Linked DNA regions of Oryzias latipes. The protein of the gene in region 1 binds, or shares a complex with, the protein of each later gene. Links are inferred from orthologs where the notes say so. Each region holds a gene or a part of one and is shown in the gene's direction. Other genes may lie near its edges.

Region 1 (3,549 bases):
TTTTTAAGTGTTAAAAATTCACTCTTTTCAGAAACTACAAAAAATTGCCCTGTTCCTTCGGTCACTCAACCAAGTATATTAAAGGTTGAAGTTTATTTTTGACGTAGCCATATTACGCTGATGGAAACGGGAGGAAAACCAGAAACCGGGTTTAGTCTTTTGGTTGATGGCTTTTTAGTATTTTTAGTATTTTTTTAGAAAAACTTAAAACATGGGACAAATATTGAGGGAAATTATGTCCAATATTGTTTTTTTTCTTTTTTTTTAAGGAACGGGATTTCTCATTTATGATTTTTGTCTGACTTTGTTCTCTGTTTTCAGTGAAGTTTCCTGATGGTCGCATTCGTCTGTACTGCAAGGGTGCCGACACCGTCATTTATGAGCGACTCTCCACAAACACCCAACACCGCCAGACCACTCAGGAGGCTCTGGATGTGGGTTCATGGCGCTCCTTCTTTCTACAACCATGTCTTACCTGCCTTTATAAGGTGTTGGGATCTGAATTCTCCTGTTGTTCTAGATCTTTGCCAACGATACGCTGCGGACGCTGTGCTTGTGTTACAAAGACATCAGTGCAAATGAGTACGAGGCCTGGTCCAGGAAACACAAAGAGGCCCAGCTGGTCATGGGCGACCGAGAAGCTGCCCTCGACAGCGTGTATGAAGAGGTGGAGAAGGACCTGATGGTGAGAAGAGAAGGCAGCTGCTTTATTGATGGAAACGATGGAGCTTTTGCTAAACAAAAAGCTTAAAAACATTAAACATTTGAATTTAGCTCATTGGAGCAACCGCTATCGAGGACAAGCTTCAGGATGGAGTTCCAGAAACCATCGCCACACTGGCCAAGGCTGACATCAAGATCTGGGTCCTGACTGGAGATAAGAAAGGTGAATTCTGATGCTTCACACTGCAGGAGGGAACGACTTGGAGATATTAGAGCTTAAACCTGAGTTTCTATTGTTTATGGATCTCCAGAGACGGCAGAGAACATCGGATACTCCTGCTCCCTTCTGACCGATGACATGACAGTCCACTATGGAGAGGATGTCAAGTAAGTGGGATGACCTCTCGACCTCTTTAGGAGCCGTGAAGACGCCTTCTGTCCAGATTTCAGAGAGGAGCCAGTTCTACCTCACAGCGCGTCAGGAGCCTGTATCAGGAGATTCATTCAGAAGACTGCCACTCCTAACTTCTACCCTAATTAACTGACATGAAAGTAGAGCTCAGACCTGCTTTCTCATCTGAGAGTCGGGTTTCACAGCACAAGAAGATGCCTGAAGCCACAATTACTGATAAGTTACTGTGATGACAGAGATTAAAGACACTTTATTCAATGTATTTATTTTCTCAACTTGATTTATTATCTTAATGTTTCAATTGTTCCTATTTCGGGAGAACAGAGTAACTGTAAGGAAATCTGATGTCATGCAGCTGTTGCTTCTCTTTGAGGCTGATCTTCTTGTTTTTTGGGTTTGTAGCGAGAAGCTGAGGATCCGTCAGACCACCAGAAGGCGTCAGCCTCCTACAAATTTTCGCCGAGCCAGACAGACTCCTGAAGAGCCTTTCTTCACAGAGACAGGCAAGAACGCTCTGATCATCACTGGAGGATGGCTGGTTAGTCTCTTTTTTACTTTGGCGGAAATCTTGTTGACTACCTTTCTGTGCATTTCCTTCTGTAGTCTTGAATGAGTTTTGTTTTCTCAGAATGAGATTCTGTATGAAAAAAAGAAGAAACGTCGCCGCCTTCGCCTCCATCGTCTGGGCAGACGTCCACCTTCCAGCAACCCTGGAGAACCATTGAATGACTGGGAGAAAGAAATGAGACAGGTAAAACCAGAGCAGCATGACCTTCTGTTTCAGTGTAGTAGATGCATATTATTGTTGGACCGGGATTCAGGAGTTTGTGACATTTCTCCGTCTAGATCGACTTTGTGGACATGGCCTGTGAGTGTGAGGCTGTCATTTGCTGCCGTGTGACCCCCAAACAAAAGGCGAATGTGGTGAGCCTGGTAAAGAAGTACAAGAAGGCTGTGACGCTGTCCATCGGCGACGGAGCCAATGACGTCAACATGATCAAGAGTAAGTTCAGAGGCCAACGCGGCTCCAGCCTCCCAGTTTCTCGTTTGCGGTGGTTCTGACCCGTTCTGCGTCCCATCTCCAGCTGCAGACATCGGTGTGGGGATCAGTGGACAGGAGGGCATGCAGGCCGTCATGTCCAGCGATTACGCCTTTGCTCAGTTCCGTTACCTGGAGCGCCTCCTGTTGGTACACGGGCGTTGGTCCTACATCCGGATGTGCAAGTTCCTGCGTTTCTTCTTCTTCAAGAACTTCTCTTTCACTCTGGTCCATTTCTGGTATTCCTTCTTCAACGGATATTCCTCACAGGTCAGTCGCCATCTGCAAACTGTGTGTGTGTGTGTGTATGTGTGTGTGTGTGTGTGGGGGGGGGGGGGGTGTCTCAAATGAACAATTAGGGGAACTCATAGGGAGGCTAGACTTTCAGAAAGTATTCTCTAAAAGCTAAATGTCCACATGAAATGAACCGAACCCTTCACAGAATCGATGTGGTTTCACTTCTGCTGCTTCAGAAAACAATTTCCTTCACAGCAGTTTTTATAACAAAAGATCAAACCTGACAAGTCCAGTGGAGAAACTATAGATGTGGCCTCAAAAGAAATCTCAAGCTGAGTTTAGAGTTTTAGATTTTTGTACAGAAAATACAAACTAAATATTTTATTATTATTATTATTATTTTTGTTATTATTTTTATTCTTCAAAAACCTCCTGCATACAAACAGCAGCAGCCCGATGTTTCCTGAGCAGGATTCGACTGTTTGTTGCAGTTCTCCCTTCACTATTGAGGGGGGGAACTAAGAGAAACTTGGCTGATAACATGCAGTGTTATCAAAAATATAAATGCAAAACTTTACTTTTTGGTCCCGTTTGTCATGAGGCGAACTCAAAGATGAGTCTGGGAACCAGTCAATACCTGGTGGACCACCATCTGCCTCAGGCAGTGCAACACATCTCCTTCACATAGAGAAAATGCGGTTGAGTGGCCCATGGAGCTTTGGGTTGTGGTGTGGGCAGATGTATGCTATGGATGACCAACACGGGTGCATTTTATTGATGGCGTTTTGAATTCAGACCTACCATGAGGAGATCCTAAGGCAGGGGTGTCCAACTCCAGGCTTCGAGAGCCGGCAGCCTGCTGGTTTTCCAGAAACCCTGCCTCATCTGCTGTTGATTACCTGGATCAGGTGTGTTTAGCCAATTAGGAGCTTCAAAGGCAGGTTGATTGGAAAACATATAGGACACTGGCCCTTGAGGCCTGGAATTGGACACCCCTGTACTAAGGGATGTTGTTGTGCTGTACATCAAAGAACATCACGTGCATTATTATGCTGTGGCATGATAATGCACGGTTCAATGTTGCAGTGTGATGATGCACGGCTCAATGTTGCAAGGATCTCTCCACAATTCTTGGAAGCTAAAAACATCCCAGCATCCTCACTGGACATGTAAACTATTGAGCGTGTTTGGGATGCTT
Region 2 (4,193 bases), on another chromosome or scaffold:
ATTGATTGATTGATTGATTGATTGATTGATTGAACATCATGCTGGTGGATCAAGTTTCAGACCCTTTCAGGGTCAAACTCATAGATTTTGGTTTGGCAGAGAAAATTAGACATATGCGTAGTGGAGCTACGATACAGAACATTTGCTACAGGGCAACTGAAGTCATCCTGGGTCTGCCCTTAGACCAACATGTAGATTTGTGGACAGTTGGCTACATTCTCTTTGTGCTGTACACGGGGACCTTTATTTATGGATGGGACACCGATTATAACATCATCCGAGCCATGGTGAAGATGCAAGGCATGCCCGAGGAAAAAGTTCTAAACCAAGGGTTTTACACCACAAGGTTTTTTACCAAGACCAAAGAAAACTCTCAGGATGTCTGGAAGCTGGACACACCCCAACAGCAAAGCAGGAAAAAAGGGAGACTGGTCGAAGACGACATTCAGTTCTTGTCCTGTGACCAACTCATCCACAGCTGTTTGGACAAAACAAAAATCAAAGAAGTGGAACAGTTAGTGGACCTGCTCAAGCGGATGCTAATGGTGGATCCAAGCAAACGCATCTCTCCAAGTGAAGCACTACAACATCCATTCTTCACGATGGGGAGGGTGCAGCCCACTGCTGACACTCACACCACCAACCCTGAAGAGCCACCAGCAGTGGAGGTCCACCTACAGCCTGAAGCAAAAGAGGTCACCAATCCTCCAAGACCAGCTGCTGTTTCCCAGGAATGTTTCAGAATGAAAAAGAAACCATGCAGGATTAATTTATTATTATTTATAATTGATTTATTATTATTATTATTATAATTATTGACTTATTATGAATATACTGTTATTATTTATTATTATTATTGACTTATTGTTGGGCTTTTCTAAAGAATTGAAAATTACATGTCAAAGAGGTCTAAAACTTCTAGTACATGCTTTAAAATTATTTTTAAAAATTCTTTGTAATTGTTTTTTGTAAGAAGTCCTGCTACTGTGCATTTTTCATTAAAGTTTGAGCTTTTAATGCTGCCTGTTTCTCTTATTTAACAACAACAAATTATTTTATGTATGTATATAAATGATATACATATATATTATATATTTATATAAATGTATAAATATATATAAACATAAATATATATATAAATTATATATAAGCTACTTAGATGCCACCAAAGGCTATAGAATGTGGGCGCCGTCGACCTCACCAAGATGGCGTCGCGCTCCACCACCGTCGGCCAGGCTTCCCAAGCGGGCGTGTCTCCTCTAGCGTTATAACTCATTGAGTTTGACACCCCTGCTCTAGAGTGCTCCTCTCGGCTACACCAAACATTCTCCGGTGACGTCACTGCCACGTAGCGCCGTTCTATTGGGCCAGCAGCTTCCGGTTTCTTCCCAGCCAGGATTAACGAAAGTTGTCAGATCGATACAAATATGAGTCGGCACTTTGACTAGACGGGGGGATAAGTTCAGTTACCGGAAGACTTCTTAGGTTCTTGTTCCACTTTTTTCTTCGCGTCCGAGATCCCCGCCTAGCTCCCAGCTGCCAAGTGTCGGGATTGTTTTGCTCGAAGCGGTTAGCGAACCATGATGGCGTCAAGCTACAACGCTAAGGAAGAGGACGGCCACCACTCTGGCTCTTCGAGTCACGGTGGACCAGGAGCAATCAAAAGCAAAAAACCGGACAATACAGCATTCAAACAGCAAAGGCTACCCGCTTGGCAGCCGATTCTGACGGCGGGCACCGTACTGCCGGCGTTCTTCGTCATCGGCCTCATCTTCATCCCCATCGGCATCGGGCTGTTTGTGACTTCAAACAACATCAAAGAGTTCGAGGTACCGTTTCCTAGTCGAGTTGGATCGTTAAAAGATCTACATGTCAATCATTCCAAATGCAACCAGTACTTCAGCTGTCAACACTTTCAAAGAAGAGCAGCTAATTGTGTCGCATTAATTAAATGTTGTCACATTTGTTTTTAAAGTAAAAAAAAAACCTCACATTCACATTATTTGAACAATTTGGGGTCATAAACATAAATTATTTTGGTGAGCTTCTGCTGTCTTGATATTTTGCAATGCATTGTGGGTAACTTTGTATCCAGTAATGTGGAAGTGTTCAAGTATGCAGTGGTATAAAAGGCTTATAGACTGTTGAAAAAAGGAGGTTAATTGACACGTAGGTGTCTATATATATATATATATATATATATATATATATATATATATTATAATGTGTGTAAAATGTAATATGTTTTGATTACATCAATCACATTGTGTCCCAATGGATTCTTGACAGTCATGACTGAAACATGCTATGTGCTTGATAAGAAGTCTATTAAAAGTTCCAGCACAATTTTGTTCTCTTGTCTTGTCATTAAAGATTGTTCTCTTGTTTTTGTTTAGATTGACTACACTGGTGTCGAGATTGATAGTCCATGTTACATATGTGCTAAGAACTTCAGCTGGAACAGCACAACATCATGCGTCTGTTCTGTGAACTTCACTTTGGACCAACCCTTTGAGGTTAGTTCTGGTTATTTTGTTACTAAATGAGCTTTATTCATCAAATGAATTATTCATGTCTTCAGCCGTATCACCGTGTGTCCCAGACACAAAGTACCCATTTGGATCTATTTAAGGTCCAAACTAGAAGGTTGTCGTTGAATGATGTTCTTATAAATTATGCATTCTGGGTTTTTAGCAAATCTCTATTGATCTTTCAAAAAAAGCTTTAAAGCTGTTTGATTTTTTTTTACACCTGCCAGGAAGATGCACTCAAATAAATACACTTTGGAAACCATTCTTTTTTTTTTTTTTTTTTTGCTGTGAAAATAAAAGCCCAAATCATTTGAAATTAGCTTAGCATTGACCGCTGTCTGCGGTGAATCAGGAAAAAAAGTGTGTGGAAGACCTTTTTCTATAACTTTTTGCTAAAATAATTTATTATAATAATAGTTAATAAAATGAAATATATATTTTTAATGATCAAAATGCTCCTTTTTTTTAACTTTTCAAGACATCTTCTTCCTGTTTTTAAACAGCAGCTCATTGACACAACTCCTGCAGAGTTGTCATGTATTTGCATGTCAGCATTTTTTGCATCTATTTGCTTTTGCAAAACAAGTGGAACAAAAAAAATCTGACAGCTAAGGAAGTGATTGACTTTTTTCTTCTTCTAGTTTTACAAAAGACATTTCTACTCAACAAGATCTATATTTATCTATATTTTATTTATATTTATCTATATTTTTATCTATATTTCAGTGCAGTAAACAGTTATTGGGAGTGGGGGGGGGGGCACAAAAGTGTACATATTCCAAGTCAAATCTGTGCGGTGTTGTAATTAAGATGAATTAAAATGAGTCAGCTGTTTCCTTTCTAAACATAAAGCTAAAAAAAATCCTGTGCTTTGATCATCTAATTGTCTTTATTTCTGTACCGTCTGCCAGTTATTGAAGTGGTTGGGATTCTTTGTGGCCTTTTAATGGCTGCCTGAGCAGAGCTGATGCCTCTTAGCGGAGCATGCTCTGCAGCGGACAGGAGAGCGGTGGAGTGCCAAAAGGCCATCGACAGATTCTCTCCTCTTTTCTGAGTGCTGTACTTTCAGGCAGTGCGGTCTCCAGCGGGCCCTGCTGTTGTACTTTATAGGATAGTTTACGTGGCTGTGGAAAGTCTGTAAAGATTCACTCTGAAAGTTGTTTTCATCTTTAACATGTATTTGGAGGACAGGTATTAAGAAAATTAAGTTCAAAATTGCATTTTGGAGTATTTCTTTATTCAAATCTTTGTGAACTTTATCGCTAAAAGAGCCCTTTGGACACGATACCATCGTGATGGCTGACTGACATCACGATGGAGAGACACCATGATGCCACGCCTCCGCCACGCTGCAAGTCGACGGCAAAAGCCGCGGTTACATGTGCAAAATATCTTGATCGGATCAATGGTCGGATTAGACTTCAACCGTGTACGTGGGCCCAGAATAACCTTTCTGATTATAACAAACATTAATGGTCACACTTTAGGTCAGAATAAATCCTTCGCACATGTGCAGTAGTGTTTGAAATGCTGGAAAAGGAAATGAGTTCCGCTGAGAGGCTACATACATAGATATCTGGCAGCTCCGTAATGTACTAGATGATCTTCTAAACATGCTTTCATTAATATTACGGTTATTATGAAGCCCCTGTTCGCTCATTT

The links. Proteins that work in one complex are often made in the same cells at the same time.
Region 2: the proteins of atp8b1 (region 1) and tmem30a are in contact, whole or in part, in a cryo-EM structure (PDB 7VGI), measured with the Homo sapiens proteins. The link is inferred for Oryzias latipes from reciprocal best matches to the Homo sapiens genes ATP8B1 and TMEM30A. Residues at the interface, in NP_001361314.1 of Homo sapiens: Thr138, His359, Trp362, Glu363, Val366, Ser369, Ser370, Trp371, Tyr372, Leu373, Tyr374, Asp375, Gly376, Arg384, Ile388, Phe418, Asn420, Trp421, Asp422, Leu423, Tyr426, Lys430, Asp431, Thr432, Pro433, His939, Trp942, Arg946, Tyr968, Phe971; in NP_060717.1 of Homo sapiens: Lys24, Thr25, Arg26, Arg27, Pro28, Asn30, Phe33, Lys34, Gln35, Gln36, Arg37, Leu38, Pro39, Ala40, Trp41, Gln42, Pro43, Ile44, Leu45, Thr46, Ala47, Val50, Phe54, Ile57, Phe61, Ile64, Ile68, Ile75, Phe119, Tyr121.

The regions. Positions count from the first base shown.
Region 1 is NC_019870.2:28,409,123-28,412,671, forward strand, and holds part of atp8b1 (phospholipid-transporting ATPase IC), read left to right. Parts: intron 1-321; coding exon 322-434; intron 435-520; coding exon 521-685; intron 686-774; coding exon 775-886; intron 887-974; coding exon 975-1,050; intron 1,051-1,477; coding exon 1,478-1,613; intron 1,614-1,703; coding exon 1,704-1,826; intron 1,827-1,921; coding exon 1,922-2,078; intron 2,079-2,160; coding exon 2,161-2,384; intron 2,385-3,549. UniProt on the Homo sapiens protein: Catalytic component of a P4-ATPase flippase complex which catalyzes the hydrolysis of ATP coupled to the transport of phospholipids, in particular phosphatidylcholines (PC), from the outer to the inner leaflet of the plasma membrane.
Region 2 is NC_019880.2:15,986,565-15,990,757, reverse strand, and holds the start of tmem30a (cell cycle control protein 50A), read left to right. Parts: upstream 1-1,353; 5' UTR 1,354-1,580; coding exon 1,581-1,829; intron 1,830-2,396; coding exon 2,397-2,516; intron 2,517-4,193. UniProt on the Homo sapiens protein: Accessory component of a P4-ATPase flippase complex which catalyzes the hydrolysis of ATP coupled to the transport of aminophospholipids from the outer to the inner leaflet of various membranes and ensures the maintenance of asymmetric distribution of phospholipids.